2 linked regions of the Anolis sagrei genome follow. The protein of the gene in region 2 interacts with the protein of the main gene of each other region in a pairwise test. Links are inferred from orthologs where the notes say so. Each region holds a gene or a part of one and is shown on either strand. Other genes may lie near its edges.

Region 1 (8,157 bases), on a different chromosome or scaffold from region 2:
CTTAGGATCCCGCGGCTCCTTCTCGGCAGTCGGGAAAGCGTCGTCGTCATGGTACTCCGCAATCTGGAACATGGTCAGGGGGCTCTCATGGCCCCCGTCCCGCGACCCGCCGCTCTCCAGGGGGAAGCAGGGCAGCGAGCTTGTCTGCAGAGGAAGGAGGAAGAAGGTCAAAACAAGAGTGGAAATAGTGACTAAGGGCTCATCTGCAAACCAGGAAGTCCATGATTCAGGTCTCGCTCCGGTTACTAACATGTCGGGACAGGAATTGCCTCTCAGGCGTCGAGAATACTTTTTGAGCGGAAAGGTACAAAATTAAATGAGCTAGAAATATTTCGTATATTTTGTTATGATTTTCCCCCTTTGCGGTTTTGTGTTTAATTATGTTGTATTATTTTTGGGCTTGGCTTCATGTTAGCCACCCCAAGTCCCCTTTGGGGAGATGGTTGTAAATAAAGATTATTATTATTATTATTATTATTAATATAATTATTAATATAATAATTATTAATATAATAATTAATATATTAATATAATTATTAATATAATAATTATTAATATAATAATTAATATATTAATATAATTATAAATATAATAATTACTAATATAATAATTAATATATTAATATATATTAATATAATAATTATTAATATAATTATTAATATAATTAATTAATATAATTAATATAATTATTATTATTAATATTAATATATAATGGACTGGTTGCTCTGACACGACAAATAAATAAATAAATAAAAATAAATTATTATTGAGCTGGTTTTATTTTTTTATTTCATGTCAAAAGCATAGCATACATAAGTATAAAACGGATAAAATACAATATAATAATATATAATAAAATTATATAACAATAATAATTAACATATTAATATATATATTAATATAATAATTATTAATATAATTATTAATATAATTAATTAATATAATTATTATTATTAATATTAATATATAATGGACTGGTTGCTCTGACACGACAAATAAATAAATAAATAAATAAAAATTATTATTGAGCTGGTTTTATTTTTTTTATTTCATGTCAAAAGCATAGCATACATAAGTATAAAACGGATAAAATACAATATAATAATATATAATAAAATACAATATAATATAATAAAAAGATTGTAATATAGTAATACTAAGGTTTATATACCTGTGGAATCATGTCCAAGGTGGGAGAAAGAACTCTTATCTGTTGGAGGTAGGTGTGAATGTTTCAATTGGCCACCTTGATTGGCATTGAATGGCCTTGTAGCTTCAAAGCCTGCATGGGGGAATCCTTTGTTGGGAGGTGTTAGCTGGCACTTGGAAACTGGGAAAGTGGGGTTTATAATGTCCAGGGTTGGAGAAAGAACTCTTGTCTGTTGGAGGTTGGTGTGAATGTTTCAATTGGCCACCTTGATTAGCACTGAAAGCTTGCCTGGGGGAATCCTTTGTTGGGAGGTGTTAGCTGGCACTTGGGAAATAGGCAAGTGGGGTTTATAATGTCCAGGGTTGGAGAAAGAACTCTTGTCTGTTGGAGGTTGGTGTGAATGTTTCAATTGGCCACCTTGACTTGCACTGAATGGCCTTGCAGCTTCAAAGCCTGCCTGGGGGAATCCTTTGTTGGGAGGTGTTAGGCAAGTGGGGTTTATAAGATCCAGGGTGGGAGAAAGAACTCTGGTCTGTTGGAGGTTGGTGTGAATGTTTCAATTGGACACCTTGATTAGCATTGAATGGCCTTGCAGCTTCAAAGCCTGCCTGGGGGAATCCTTTGTTGGGAGGTGTTAGGCAAGTGGGGTTTATAATGTCCAGGGTTGGAGAAAGAACTCTTGTCTGTTGGAGGTAGGCGTGAATGTTTCAGTTGGCCACCTTGATCAGCATTGAATGGCCTAGCAGTTTCAAGGTGTGGCTTCTTACTGCCTGGGGGAATCCTTTGTTGGGAGGTGTTAGCTGGCATTTGGAAACTAGGCAAATAGGGTTTATAATGTCCAGGTTGGGAGAAAGAACTCTTGTCTGTTGGAGTTAGGCCACCTTGATTAGCACTGAATGGCCTTGCAGCTTCAAAGGCCGCCTGGGGGAATCATTTGTTGGGAGGTGTTAGGCAAGTGGGGTTTATAATGTCCAGGGTGGGCGAAAGAACTCTTGTCTGTTGGAGGTTGGTGTGAGTGTTTCAATTAGCCACCTTGATTAGCATTGAATGGCCTTGCAGCTTCAAAGCCTGCCTGGGGGAATCCTTTGTTGGGAGGTGTTAGGAGCGTGGGGTTTATAATGTCCAGGGTGGGAGAAAGAACTCTTGTCTGTTGGAGGTAGGCGTGAATGTTTCAGTTGGCCACCTTGATTAGCACTCAATGGCCTTGCAGCTTCAAAGCCTGCCTGGGGGAATCCTTTGTTGGGAGGTGTTAAATGGCACTTGGAAACTGGGAAAGTGGGGTTTATAATGTCCAGGGTGGGAGAAAGAACTCGTCTGTTGGAGGTTGATGTGAATGTTTCAATTGGCCACCTTGATTAGCATTGAATGGCCTTGCAGCTTCAAAGCCTGCCTGGGGGAATCCTTTGTTGGGAGGTGTTATCTGGCACTTGGAAACTAGACAAGTGGGGTTTATAATGTCCAGGGTGGGAGAAAGAACTCTTGTCTGTTGGGAGATAGGTGTGAATATTTCAATTGGCCACCTTGATTAGCACTGAAAGCTTGCCTGGGGGAATCCTTTTTTGGGAGGTGTTAGCTGGCACTTGGAAACTAGGCACGTGGGGTTTATATTCCTGTGGAATAATATCCTGGGTGGGAGAAAGAACTCTTGTCTATTGGAGGTAGGTGTGAATGTTTCAATTGGCCAGCTTGATTAGCATTGAATGGCCTTGCAGCTTCAAAGCCTGCCTGGGGGAATCCTTTGTTGGGAGGTGTAAGCTGGCACATGGAAACTAAGCAAGTGGGGTTTATATACCTGTGGAGTAATGTCCAGGTTGGGAGAAAGAACTCTTGTCTGTTGGAGGTTAGTGTGAGTGTTTCAATTGGCTACCTTGATTAGCATTGAAAGCTTGCCTGGGGGAATCCTTTGTTGGGAGGTGTTAGGCAAGTGGGGTTGATAATGTCCAGGGTGGGAGAAAGAACTCTTGTCTGTTGGAGGTTGGTGTGAATATTTCAATTGGACACCTTGATTAGCACTGAAAGCTTGCCTGGGGGAATCCTTTGTTGGGAGGTGTTAGCTGGCACTTGGAAACTGGGAAAGTGGGGTTTATAATGTCCAGGGTGGGAGAAAGAACTCTTGTCTGTTGGAGGTAGGCGTGAATGTTTCAGTTGGCCACCTTGATTAGCATTTAATGGCCTAGCAGTTTCAAGGTGTGGCTTCTTACAGCCTGGGGGAATCCTTTGTTGGGAGATGATTACCTGTCCCTAATTGTTTCAAAGTCTTCTGCTTGTGTTGTTAGGCCTAGCTCATCAGCATATATAGAGCTGGGTAGTGGGCCATCCAGTCCAACCCCATTCTGCCATAGGAAGACACCATCAAAGCCCTCCCAACAGATAGCCAGTCAGACTCTGCTTCAAAACCTCCCTCACAGTGATGGGAGAGTGTGCTTCCCATGCCATCCCAGCCTGGGCTTCCTTTCTGACTGATCAGAGGCATTTCCTGGTGCAGCCATTGTTGATGTCCTGCTCCTTCCTCCCTTCCAGGCTCCAAATCCATCTATTCCAGCATATTATTATGATTAGAGCCAAGATCTAATGATAATCCTGCCTCCCTCCCAGGCCCCGATCCTCCTTACCTCAAGCAAAGCTGCCTCACTCTCTCGACACGGCTCGTGTTTACAGCCTGGCTCTTCCCTGCCACTGTCGCCCGGGCGATGGAGGACTGCCACTCCCTGCGTCCAATCACATCTCTCGACGTCACGGCTAAGGGGCGGGGACTCCCGCTGCAAGGCAGGCCCCGCCCACCTTTGTAATTTTTTATTCCCGAAGCCCCGCCCCCGGCGTTTCCTATTGGCTACCTTCCGCGCCGGGGTGGCTTGCCATTGGCTGTTCCCGGAGCGCTCTGCCCGGGAACACAATCTGGGAGCACGTGACCTAAACCTGTGCAGCAAGCCATCCAGATCTAGGGATAGGTTTGCACTGTAGAATCAATGCTGTTCAAACTGCAGTAGATGGGCGTACACTGACCCTATGTAATACAATGTAATGCAACATAATGTATTATAAGGCACTGGCCACATATATATGTAGATACTCCAGACTGCACTATATGAGTGGCCCTATAATATATGTGTGTGTGTGTAGATACTCCATTCCAACCCCATATATATATATATATATATATATATATATATAGGGTTGGAATGGAGTATCTACATATATATATATATATATATATATATATATTATATATGTAGATACTCCAGACTGCATTATATGAGTGGCCCTATTATATATATATATATATGTATATGTATATGTGTATATGTATATGTATATGTATAAGTATATGTATATGCATATGTATATATATGGCCACTGAGCTCCATTATATGGATCTACATATATATTATATATGGTCAGTGCCATATATATATTATAGGGCCAGGGTAGATGCATATAATGTAGTCTGGAATGCACTGAGCTCCATTATATGGATCTACATATATATTATATAGGATATATGGTCAATATCATATATATATATATATATATATATATATATTATAGGGCTAGGGTGGACGCACTGAGCTCCATTATATGGATCTACATATATATTATACATGATATATGTCAATGTCATATATATATATATATTATAGGGCTAGGGTAGACGCACTGAGTTCCATTATATGGATCTACATATATATTATATATATAATATATCTGTAGATCCATATAATGGAACTCAGTGTATTCCAGATTGCATTATATGCATTTACCCTAGTCCTATAATATATATATATAATATATATATATATGGGTCATGGTATATATTATATATGGCCAGTACCATCCATATATATATATATATATATATATATATATATATATATATATATATATAGATGGTACTGGTCATATATAATATATATGGAGACTCATGTAATGGAGGCCAATGCAGTCCAGATTGCATTATATGGGTCTACCATGACCCTATATGTATATGTATGTGTGTTTATATATATATATATGGCACTGACTACACATAAGAGAGAGATCCATATAATGGAGCTTAATGTATTTCAGATTGCATTATATGGGCCCACCCTATAATATAATGTAATATAATGGATACTGGCCACATATTATATATATGGGGACCCCTATAGTGGCGTTCAATGTCTTCCAAGCTGCCTTATATAGGCCCACCATGCAAACAAGCAGGAGTAGGGTCAACCTACACCTTGCTAAATGAGCCATTTGGGCCACACTCAAGATGGCGCCCTATATCTTGCTCAAGGAGCCACACTCAAGATGGCGCCCGGAAAGAGCGGGGCCACTCTAAGGACAGCCTTGCGCACTCCGCTGCATTCACGACGCCGTTTACGCCCTTGACGTAACAAAGCGCCGCCTACTTAAAGGGGGCGGGCCTTACGCACTTGGCGCAGACCCGGGCAGGGAAGCAGGTGCTTTGGGAACCAGGCTGAGGCACAGGCAGAGGGGGGCTCCTAAATCTGGACCGGAAGTGGGGGAAAGGGGGACTCTTTACGAGCTGGGCTTCCGGCGGGGGAAGGAATAAGGGCTGTAGGTACCTGAGGGGAGGTGTTTGACAGGAAGTGGGCCCACTGAGGCTGCCATTGTGGCAAATGGAGGGGAAAGGACTCCAGTTGGGGTTGTAGATACCTGAAGGTTGAGAGGAAGCAGGTGTTTGACAGGAAGTGAGGCTGTGAAACACCTGGGGCAAGTGTCAAGCCTTGAGGGGAGCACCTTCTTTCTTGGGGGAGGTTCCCAAATTGAGGGCAGGTCTGAATTGAGGCCTAAGTGGAGTACCAGTCTTTTGGGAAGGGCTTCTTCTTCTTTCTCCTCCTAAAGTGAGGGCACCTCAAGGGCATCCTTCTCATGGAAGCGGCCTTCGGTTCCTCCGCTGAAGAAGGCTCTCTCGGCCCTAAGGATGTGACCCACTCTCCCGCTTGTTGGGGGGCAGCTCCGCCATCTTGAGAGCGTGGTGGTGCCGCCCCCCAGGCTTCTAACCACGTTGGGATGCCTCCTGAGATAATGGAGAAGGCCCTGGGCAACCTCAGTACGGTTGTGGTGCCCGCCTCTCGCCTCACACCGGCCTTCCCGCCAGCCGTGAAGGTGGGCTTGACGGCACTCTACACGGCCCTCTACGCCGCTCTCTTCCTCTCGGTCTACGCCCAGCTATGGCTGGTGCTCTTCTACCGGCACAAGAAGCTCAGCTACCAGACGGTCTTCCTCTTCCTCTGCCTGCTCTGGGCTGCCCTGCGCACCACCCTCTTCTCCTTCTACTTCCGCAACACCCTCAAGGCCAACCGCTTGAGCCCCTTCTTCTTCTGGCTCCTCTACTGCTGCCCCGTCTGCCTCCAGTTCTTCACCTTGACCCTCATGAACCTGTACTTTGCCCAGGTGAGTCAGGACAAGGTGAGTCGGCAGGCTCCTTTGGAACCCAGAAAACAACTTCTGCGTAATAATAATTTGTAGGTTCTTGTGGGGTTTTTCGAGCTATAGGGCCATGTTCTAGATGCATTTCTCCTGATGTTTCGCCTGCATCTATGGCAAGCATCCTCACTACCTCTGAGGATGCTTGCCATAGATGCAGGCGAAACGTCAGGAGAAATGCCTCTAGAACATGACCCTATAGCCCGAAAAAACCCACAAGAACCTAGTGATTCCAGCCATGAAAGCCTTCGACAATACATAATAATAATTTATTTTATTTGTCATGTCAGGACAACCAGTCATATTATATTACATTTCTAACAGAACAAAGCAAACAGACAGACAAAATACAAAATTTGTGAGTTTGGTAGTTGATTAAATGGCCACTTGGAGTGCTTCTGGTGTTGCTGCAAGAAGGTCCTCCATTGTGCATGTGGCAGGGCTCAGGTTGCATTGCAGCAGGTGGTCAGTGGTTTGCTCCTCTCCACACTCGCATGTCGAGGATTCCACTTTGTGGCCCCATTTCTGAAGGTTGGCTCTGCATCTCGTGGTGCCACAAAGTGGAATCCTCGACATGCGAGTGTGGAGAGGAGCAAACCACTGACCACCTGCTGCAATGCAACCTGAGCCCTGCCACATGCACAATGGAGGACCTTCTTGCAGCAACACCAGAAGCACTCCAAGTGGCTATTTAATCAACTACCAAACTCACAAATTTTGTATTTTGTCTGTCTGTCTGGTGCAGTCTGTTCAGCGCTTTCCAAGTCGCCCAGTCCTCTGTGTGCCCGGGGAGGGGGGGGGGTCTCATTTGGTATCAGCCATTGGTTGAGGTTCTGGGTTTGAGCCTGCCACTTTTGGACTCTCGCTTGCTGAGGTGTTCCAGCAAGTGCCTCTGTAAATCTTAGAAAACTATTTCTAGATTTAAGTCGTTGATGTGCTGGCTGATACCCAAACAGGGGATGAGCTGGAGATGTCTCTGCCTTGGTCCTTTCACTATTGTCTGCTACTTCCCGGTGGATGTCAGGTGGTGCAATACCGGCTAAGCAGTGTAATTTCTCCAGTGGTGTAGGATGTAGACACCACGTGATACACCCCCTGGGCACACAGAGGACTGGGCGACTTGGAAGGCGCTGAACAGACTGCGCTCTGGCACCATGAGATGCAGAGCCAACCTTCAGAAACGGAGCTACAAAGTGGAATCCACGACATGCAAATGTAGAGAGGAGCAAACCACTGACCACCTGCCAGCACAGTGATCTTTTTTTGCTGTGTACCAATTTTGTTGTGTATCCAATAAAAATAATGATTTATTATTAACTATTAAATTATTTGTTACTATTATTATTATCATAATCATCATCTCAGGCCCTCCTCTCTCACACCATCCTATCCTTCCTTCCTTGTCTCTTTCCTTCCTCATTCCTTTCCTACTGTCCATACTTCCCTTCCGCCCATTCATCCTTCCTTCCCTTTTGTCTTTCCTTCTCTCCTTCCTTCCTCCTTACCTCCCTCCTTCTTTCTTCTTCCATCCTTTCCTTCCACCCTTTTGTCCTTCCTTCCCCCTTTCCTCC
Region 2 (8,780 bases):
CTCCATCTGGGTTCATATTTGGGCATATGGAATATTCGTGCCAAGTTCCCAAGGGCATCCGGGATGCCCCAACTCTGACAATTTTTAGGAGGAGCCTGAAAACGTGGTTGTTCCAGTGTGCCTTTCCAAAATAATTAATTTCTCAGCAATATGCCCTGAATGTGCACTGTATTATTGATTTAGGATTGATTGATCTGCACGCCCTAACCCCTCTGAAAATCTCCATCCCAGTTATATCCTACCTTGCTCATTTCCAGCATAATTTTTTTAATTTTAATTTTACATTTGGCCCAGCCAAGGGTTTTAAATGCTTGTTGTGTTACTGTACTGCTTATATTTTATTTTTGTTTATAAGATGTATTTTAACTGTTTTGTATTGTTTGTTTGCTATTGTTTTATTATTGATGTGTTGTGGTCTCGGCCTCATGTAAGCCGCACTGAGTCCCTTGGGGAGATGGTAGCGGGGTATAAATAAAGATGATTATTATTATTATTATTATTATTATTATTATAAGTTTGGTCCAGATCCATCATTGTTTGAGTCCACAGTGCTCTCTGTATGTAGGTGAACTACAACTCCCAAACTCAAGGTCAATGCTTACCAAACCCTTCTAGTGTTTTTTGTTGGTCATGGGAGTCCTGTGTACCACATTTGGTTCAATTCCAGAATTGGTGGGGTTCAGAATGCTCTTTGCTTGTATGTAAACTATAAATCCCAGCAACTGCAACTCCCAAATGACAAAATCAATTTTTGAATGATGGTCACTCCTTGGGTTAGTAGGTGTCTTGTGGCCAAATTTGGTGTCAATTCTCCCAGTGGTTTTGGAGCTATGTTAATCCCACAAACGAACATTACATTTTTATTTATATAGACTAGCTGTCCCCTGCCACACTACTGTGGCCCAGTCTGGTGATCTGGAAAATAAAGTAATGAGAAAGTGTTGGTTTCTAATATATGTAATTCCTTTATGCTTGTGAGTAAACAGTATTTCTTGTTGTTTCTTTGTCAGTGTTGATGTGGAGAGTGTCTGGTTTGCCTACTCTGGAATATGCAACATATCATAGTCATTCTTTAAGGGTCTCTTTCAAATCTATGATACTATCTCTCTCTCTCTCTCTCTGTGTGAGAATCATATCTATCTCTCTATATTTATGACTGGATGGCTCTTTGTCAGGAGGGCTCTGATTACATTTTCTTGCCCTGGTGAAGAGAGTTGGACTGGATGGCCTTAAGTATTTTCTGTTGGTCATGGGGGTTCTGTGTGGGAAGTTTGCCCCATTTCTCTCTGGATGTAGGTGAACTACAACTCCCAAACTCAAGGTCAATGCCCACCAAACCCTTAGTGTGTTCTGTTGGTCATGGAAGTCCTGTATGCCATGGTCATGGGTTTGTGCTAAGTTTGACCCAATTCCATCATTGGTGGAGTTCAGAATGCTCTTTGATTGTAGGTGAACTATAAATCCCAGCAACTACAACTCACAAATGACAAAATCAATTTTTTTTGAGTGAAGGACATACATTGGGTTGTTAGGTGTATTGTGTCCAAATTTGGTGTCAATTCCCCCAGTGGTTTTTGAGTTCTGTTAATCCCACAAACGAACATTACATTTTTATTTATATAGACTAGCTGTACCCGCCATGAGTTGCTGTGGCCAACCTTCCCTCTTTCTCTCTTTCCTTCACTCCCTCTTTCCTTCCTTCCTTCCTGTCTTTCCTTCTCTACCTCGTTCCTTCCTTCCCCCTTTTTCTTTCCCTCCCTCTTTCTCTCCTTTATTCCTTCTCTACTTCTTTCCTTCCTTATCCCTTTACTTCTTTCTCTCCCTCCCCCCTTTCTTTTCTTTCTCTTTTCTCCCCTTCCCTCCCTCTTTCTTTCCTTTTTTCTGTATTGTCGTTTAGCTTTTTGTCATTTAGCTCTTTGGGGCTTTTTCAGTCCCTTCTGCTGTGTTTTTATGAGTCAAAGACATACATTGGGTTGTTGGGTCTCTTGTGGCCAAATCTGGTGTCAATTCCCCCAGTGGTTTTTGAGTTCTGCTGTGTTTTTCAGTGTTTATATGAGTGAAGGACATACATTGGGTTGTTAGGTGTCTTGTGGCCAAATCTGGTGTCAATACGTCCAGTGGTTTTTGAGTTGTGTTAATCCCATAAATGAACATTACATTTGTATTTATATAGATTATATATCACATATAATATTACTAACATGTTATTATTTTTGATGTAGTTGTGAATTTGTTTTTGGCCCGTTGGCATGTGGGGGGGGGGGGGGGGAGATTGTTTTTGTCTTTGTTCAGCTTCCCACAGCATTGAATATTTGCTGATGCCTGTTGTTAACCGCCCTGAATCCCCTCGGGGAGATAGGGCGGGTTATAAATAAAGTAATCTTATTGTTGAGCCAGGGCAACGAACATTACTCATTTATTTATATAGATTATTATATATCACATATAATATTACTAATGTGTTATTATTTTTGATGTAGGTTCTTGTGGGTTTTTTCCAAGGCTATAGGGCCATTTATATAGATTATTATATATTACATATAATATTACTAATGTGTTATTATTTTTGATGTAGGTTCTTGTGGGTTTTTTTCGGGCTATAGGGCCATGTTCTAGAGGCATTTCTCCTGACGTTTCGCCTGCATCTATGGCAAGCATCCTCAGAGGTAGTGAGGTCTGTTGGAATTAGGACAATGGGTTTATATATCTGTGGAATGGCTGGGGTGGGGCAAAGAGCTCTTCCCTGCTGCAGTTAGGTGTGAATGTTTCAACTGACCACCTTCATTAGCATTTGAAGGCCTGGCTGAGCCTGGGAAAATCTTTTGTTGAGAGGTGTTAAGATGTGCCTGGTTGTTTCCTCTCTGCCATGAAAGCCTTCGACAATACATTTTTGATGTAGTTGTGGATTTGTTTTTGGGATGTGAGGGGGGGAGGTTGTTTTTGTCTTTGTTCAGCTTCTCACGGAATTGAATATTGGCTGATGCCTGTTGTTAACCGCCCTGAGTCCCCTCGGGGAGATAGGACGGGTTATACATAAAGTATTCTTATTGTTGAGCCAGGGCCAGGCTGTGTCCATTGGATGGTGCAGATCATGCCCCCTCAGGTAGGGAGCGAAGAAAGGGCCTTTCTCTTCTTCTTCTTCTTCTTCTTCTTTCTCGGCCTGAAGCAGCGCGTGGCCTGAAGGGCTCGGTTTCCTTCCTTCCTTCCTCCCCTCCTCCTCCTCCGCCTCCTCCTCCCAGGTGAGCGCCCGGCCCTGGGCGGAAGAAGGTGACTCACCCAGAGGCAGGGCGGGGCCGCTTCCAGGCTGGCATCCAAGGCGAGGACGGAGAGCGGGAGCGAGAGAGGGAAGAAGGAAGGAAGGAAGGAGGCCAAGCCGGGAAACACCTCGCGACAAAGGCGGTGCCGCCGGCTTAGGCCCGTTAGGCGAGCGCCTTCAGAGCAACGAGAAAAGCAAGGCCTTCCCCAGAAGCCCACAGAAGAGGAGGAGGAGGGAGGGAAGGAGGGGAAGGCAAGCAATCGGCGGAAGGGCCGGGCCTGGCCTGGGAGAGGCCTCTCACTCACCTCAGGCGGGTCCCGGTAAGGCAGAGAGGCGAGTGAAGACGACTCCGGCTTCCCAACCGTGGCTCCTCCAGCACATATACACACCCTGCGGCTCCTGCAGGCAGGCACTTCCGGCGGGTGAGGACACGCCCTTTCCGGCAAGGACACGCCCCTCCTCCGGCTCTCCCTCCCTCCGCTTCTCCCATTGGACCAGCCGGGCCGCGGAGAGGCGGGAGAGGATGCCGCGCGGTAGCCATGGCAACAGGGCACGATGGTTTCGTCCTTCGCAGGGGGAGGAGTTGAAACAAAGACCAATCTTTTCAACACCCCCCCTCTCGTTCCTCCCACGTTGAGTCTACTTATTAGGCCTCACACCTATTCTTGGTTTAGCCCAGCCCTGTTTTTAATACGATCTGAATCAAAGAAAATGAAGGAATTCAACCCTTTTATACGAATGGTATGTTCCGTCTTGACTAGATCTGGCTGTAGGTTTGGTTGCAGCCATACCAGTGTTCTTCCCCATGCTTTGTGCTTAGAATCACAGAGTTGGAAGAGACCTCATGGGCCATCCAGTCCAACCCCCTGCCTAGAAGCAGGAATACTGCATTCAAAGCACCCCTGACAGATGGCCATCCAGCCTCTGTTTACAAAGATATGACTGACCCTTGGCCAAACTGGCTGTGGCTTTCAGACAGGCCCTATATCCAGGATCTGTTTATCTCAAAGCCCTTAGAATCATAGAATCAAAGAGTTGGAAGACACCTCATGGGCCATCCAGTCCAACCCCCTGCCTAGAAGCAGGAATATTGCATTCAAAGCACCCCTGACAGATGGCCATCCAGCCTCTGTTTACAAAGATATGACTGACCCTCGGCCAAACTGGCTGTGGCTTTCAGACAGGCCCTATATCCAGGATCTGTTTATCTCAAGGCCCTTAGAATCATAGAATCAAAGAGTTGGAAGAGACCTCATGGGCCATCCAGTCCAACCCCCTGCCTAGAAGCAGGAATATTGCATTCAAAACACCCCTGACAAATGGCCATCCAGCCTCTGTTTACAAAGATATGACTGACCCTTGGCCAAACTGGCAGTGGCTTCCAGACAGGCCCTATATCCAGGATCTGTTGACCACATTCCTGTGTACTAACCCACACGATCTCTTCGATCATCTGGATAGGCCCTACTCATGCTCCCACCTGCATCGCAAGCATGATTGGTGGGGACGAGAGAAGGCCTTCTCGGTGGTGGCCCCTCGTCTCTGGAACTCACTTCCTAAGGGCATCAGGCATACCCCAACTTTGGCAGGCTTTAGGAGGAGCTTGAAAACGTGGTTGTTCCAGTGTGCCTTCCCAGAATAATGAACCCTTAGCATTATGTCCTCTAAAAGCACTTTATACTAATTTAGGCTTGCTTGTATGTTTTCACCAACGCCCTACCTCCTCTATCTTGTTTATGCCCAGCATTATTTTTTTAACTTTAATTACATTTGGCCCAGCCATAGATTTTAAATGTGTTTTGTGCTATTGTTCAATGTTTGTGCTATTTATGTGTGAGTTTTATTTTTAATTGCTTTGTTTTAGTATTTGTATTTTGCTTTGTACTGTGGTTGTTATTGCATGTATTGATGTATTCTGGGCTCGGCCTCATGTAAGCCGCACCGAGTCCCTTGGGAGATGGTAGCGGGGTATAAATAAGTTTTATTATTATATTATTATTATTTATTATTATCTCAGAGCCCTTCCACACAGCCATTAAATCCAGAATATCAAGGCAAAAAAAAAAAACCCCCACAGTATCTGCTTTGAACTGGGTTATCTGAGTCCACACTGCCATATGGTCCAGTTCAAAGCAGAAAATAATAAATAATTAAATAAAGCAGAAAATGTGGGATTTTATTCAGCTGTGTGGAAGGGGTCCCAGATTATCTGACAGTTGGGACTCATATAATCCAGTTCAAAGCAGAGATCCTGGGATATAGAGCCTGTCTGGAAATGCCCTGGGAGTTAGAAGTACTCGAAATAGTCAAAGAATGGGGTTGATTGATCCACACTGTTGAAATAATGCTGTTTAATCCCACTTTAACTGCTATGGTTTAATACTCCCTTTATCACAGGCAAGACTTGTGGGAATGAGGGAGAAAGCCTTCTCCGCTGTGGCTCCCCGTCTTTAGCACTCACTACCTGGTGAGATTAGGCAAGCCACCTCCTTAGCAGACTTCAAGAAAAACTTGAAAACCTGGTTTTTCTGATGTGCCTTCGGAGAGTGACCATTTATTCCACTTCTCTTTGCCCCATTTATAGTGTTGCCCCTATGTTGCATTTTCCTCTGCCCTAGACTGAAAGCCTTACCCCACTGTTTTATCCTTACTGGGCTCCCCTTACTTACACATTTTCTATTCCTACCTCACCCAGGGTTTTTATTATATTATCATTTTATCTTGTCTATCTGGCCTGCACTTCCAATTTGACTTTTATATGGTGTTAATTTGCTCTATTGTTTTATGTTGCTACTGTACTAATTAGTTTCTGATGTAAGTTTTTGTTTTTGCATTCTGTATTTTATTGTGTTGTATTGTATTTTTTGAGATTGGCCTCATGTCAGCCGCCCCAAGTCCCCATTGGGGAGATGGTGGCAGGGTATAAATAAAGGTTGTTGTTGTTGTTGTTGTTGTTGTTGTTGTTATTTATTATTACTATAGAGTCGAAGTAGTTGCACCAGCTCTCTTTGGCAGAGAAGGCTAAAAAAAACTTGTAAAATTACAACAGCCTTGATTTCATAGCTGGTAGTCACGGCAGTTAAAGTGTGTCAAATTGCATTAATTCTACAGTGTAGAACAGGCATGGGCAAATTTCAGCCCTCCAGGTGTTTTGGACTTCAACACTCCTAAAGAAAAGTGAAATGTAAAAGAGAAAATGGTGACAAATCTGAAAGCATTCGTTGATCTGTTCATTTGAAATACCATTATTGTTCATTTTGTGAACCTTATGTCTTCTCTGTTTTTTCTAACTGTAGGAAATGCTGATGTAGAGACAATTATAGTATGTTATTTCAAAAATGCTTTTTACTTTGTCATAATACCTTGCAGTGCCATTGAATGCACTTATGCGTTATGTATCATACTTGTTTAGACATGCCTTTAATCTGGTAGTTGAGAGTGGCTTGTAATATCAAGCAGACATTTACAATGCAGCATTCCAGGCCCAAACCAAAACAAGGTGGAGGTGTGTGTGTGTTCATGCATATATTCACATGTGATGAAGCTCTGGAACATCAACACTGAAAGTGGTAAAGAACCTCTGCCTTGCTGAGCCATAATGATAAATCTGAACTGCATTTGCTTCTGCTGAATTAAATCAAGCAGAAGAATGGATCCTTTTTCAAAACGATTATGGTTCAAACAGGTTGGTGGGCAATTTCTGAAGCAGATAAATAACAGAGACAAATGATGTGCTCATTCTGGAGAACGGTTCAGTGTTAAAGTATACGCTTTCAATTTTGGACCTCTGGGTAGGTTTACAAAACAGTCTTGTCTGAAATTGTAGAAAACTGCTTATATTTGTTCATGCTTTGTTAAATGACCCAATAGTTTGACTCTGTATCATGTTCCTATGTTCTAGATGACTCATCAAGGTCTAGAGCAATTAGACACAGAAGGAAGCAAATGAATCTCTCCAGCAGCTTCTCCAAGGACATAGTGCTCAAAGTAATTTATTCCAAGCTAGAAAAGTTTGCATTTGGTGTCAAGGTGACCTTGATGATGATGATGATGATAATGAAAACTTTATTTATATACTGCTCTATCTCCCCAAGGGGGGACTCAGGGGGACTTCCAAATAACATCACCGAAACATACAAGTAATCAGCATAACATAAAATTAACAAAACAACATAAGCATAAAATTATCACAATAACACGTGTATATTAAAAATAATCCTACCTGTTTAGCAATTAAAAAGCTGGGCCAAGGCTAGTGCTGGGAATTAAGTATAACAGGCCAACAGCGATAGTAGGTACGGGTCTGTGGCTGCTCATTTCCAGGGCCTATTAGAGGGATGACCGGGGTAATAGGTAAGAAGTGCAAGGCCATATTTCACAATGTTTGGGGCTGGACTGGAACTGGTCATTCTCAAAGGCTTGTTGAAACCACCAGGTCTTCAAGCTCTTACACAAGGAGGGGAGGGATGGGGCCTGTCTTATTTACCTTGGAAGGGCATTCCAGAGGCGGGGGAGCACTACTGAGAAGGCCCTCCATCTCGTCCCCACCAACTGTATTTGTGACAGTGGTGGGAGCAAAAGGAGGGCCTCCGCAGAAGATTAGTTCCTTCAGTCACCTCATTCCCTCTATGCTGACCGTGGTGGTTTGGAGCAGTCCGGCTAACCAGTCTCTCCACTAGTCTCTCTAATGGTACGCCTGCAACCTGCTGCCAGATCTCCCAGATCAAATCTTTTGTCACCTGCAGAAAACATGCTGTATATTTAACATACTCTTGCACAGTGTGGCATTTATTTACTTATTTACTTTATTTATCCCCTGCCTTTCTCCCCAAGGAAACTCAAGGTGGTTAACAACCACACACTCAATTTAAAACAAAGCAAATACAAAAATTAAAAATCAACTAAACAGTACTGTGTGTTTTAGGTTAAAAATACAATTAAATGCAATAAATACAATTAAAATGCATCCAAAACACACAGACAAATCCCACCCCCACTCCCACATCCTCCCCTGCAACTTGCCTCTTATCCTTCCCCAAGTACCTGCTGACAGAGAAAAGTTTTGGCCTGCTTGTGGAAGAAGCAATTTGTGCTAGATTCTTGTATGACTCTTGCACAACATATCTGTTGTTAGTCAGGAGCAAAAATCAGGGTTTGCTGCATCAGCAAATTTGATTCACCTTTGCTATTAGTGGAATTGTATGGAAAGTAAGGCGTAGGTGTGCCCTCCAGGCAGCTCATTGTTGGGTTTGTGTACCCAACCCAAAGCATCCAAGTGTGGGAGTCTATGATATCAACTGCAAAGTTCCAGTACAAGAGGGGAAAAAAGGATTGGGAGAAGGAGTTCAATGTGTGAGATCTTCCAGATTCCTTGGAAGTAAGATTAAGCTTAGACAATTAATATACTATCATTGCATGGATTTTTTTGCATTGATTGGTATGGTTAGCTCTGGCAGATACTCTATGCCTAATTCTTTCTGATGCCGTAGCTTTTCCAAATCATATGCAGAAATATATACAGGTG

What was found. The genes of interacting proteins can lie anywhere in the genome.
Region 1: the proteins of YWHAB (region 2) and BAD interact in binary tests that used the Homo sapiens proteins (3 or more experiments, as listed by UniProt). The link is inferred for Anolis sagrei from reciprocal best matches to the Homo sapiens genes YWHAB and BAD.

What each region holds. Positions count from the first base shown.
Region 1 is NC_090032.1:16,529,389-16,537,545, forward strand, and holds the start of BAD (bcl2-associated agonist of cell death), read right to left. Parts: upstream 3,876-8,157; 5' UTR 3,763-3,875; intron 145-3,762; 5' UTR 73-144; coding exon 1-72. Other genes in the region: integral membrane protein GPR137, read left to right, coding at 6,170-6,568. UniProt on the Homo sapiens protein: Promotes cell death. Successfully competes for the binding to Bcl-X(L), Bcl-2 and Bcl-W, thereby affecting the level of heterodimerization of these proteins with BAX. Can reverse the death repressor activity of Bcl-X(L), but not that of Bcl-2.
Region 2 is NC_090024.1:217,748,065-217,756,844, forward strand, and holds the start of YWHAB (14-3-3 protein beta/alpha), read right to left. Parts: upstream 3,710-8,780; 5' UTR 3,562-3,709; intron 1-3,561. UniProt on the Homo sapiens protein: Adapter protein implicated in the regulation of a large spectrum of both general and specialized signaling pathways. Binds to a large number of partners, usually by recognition of a phosphoserine or phosphothreonine motif.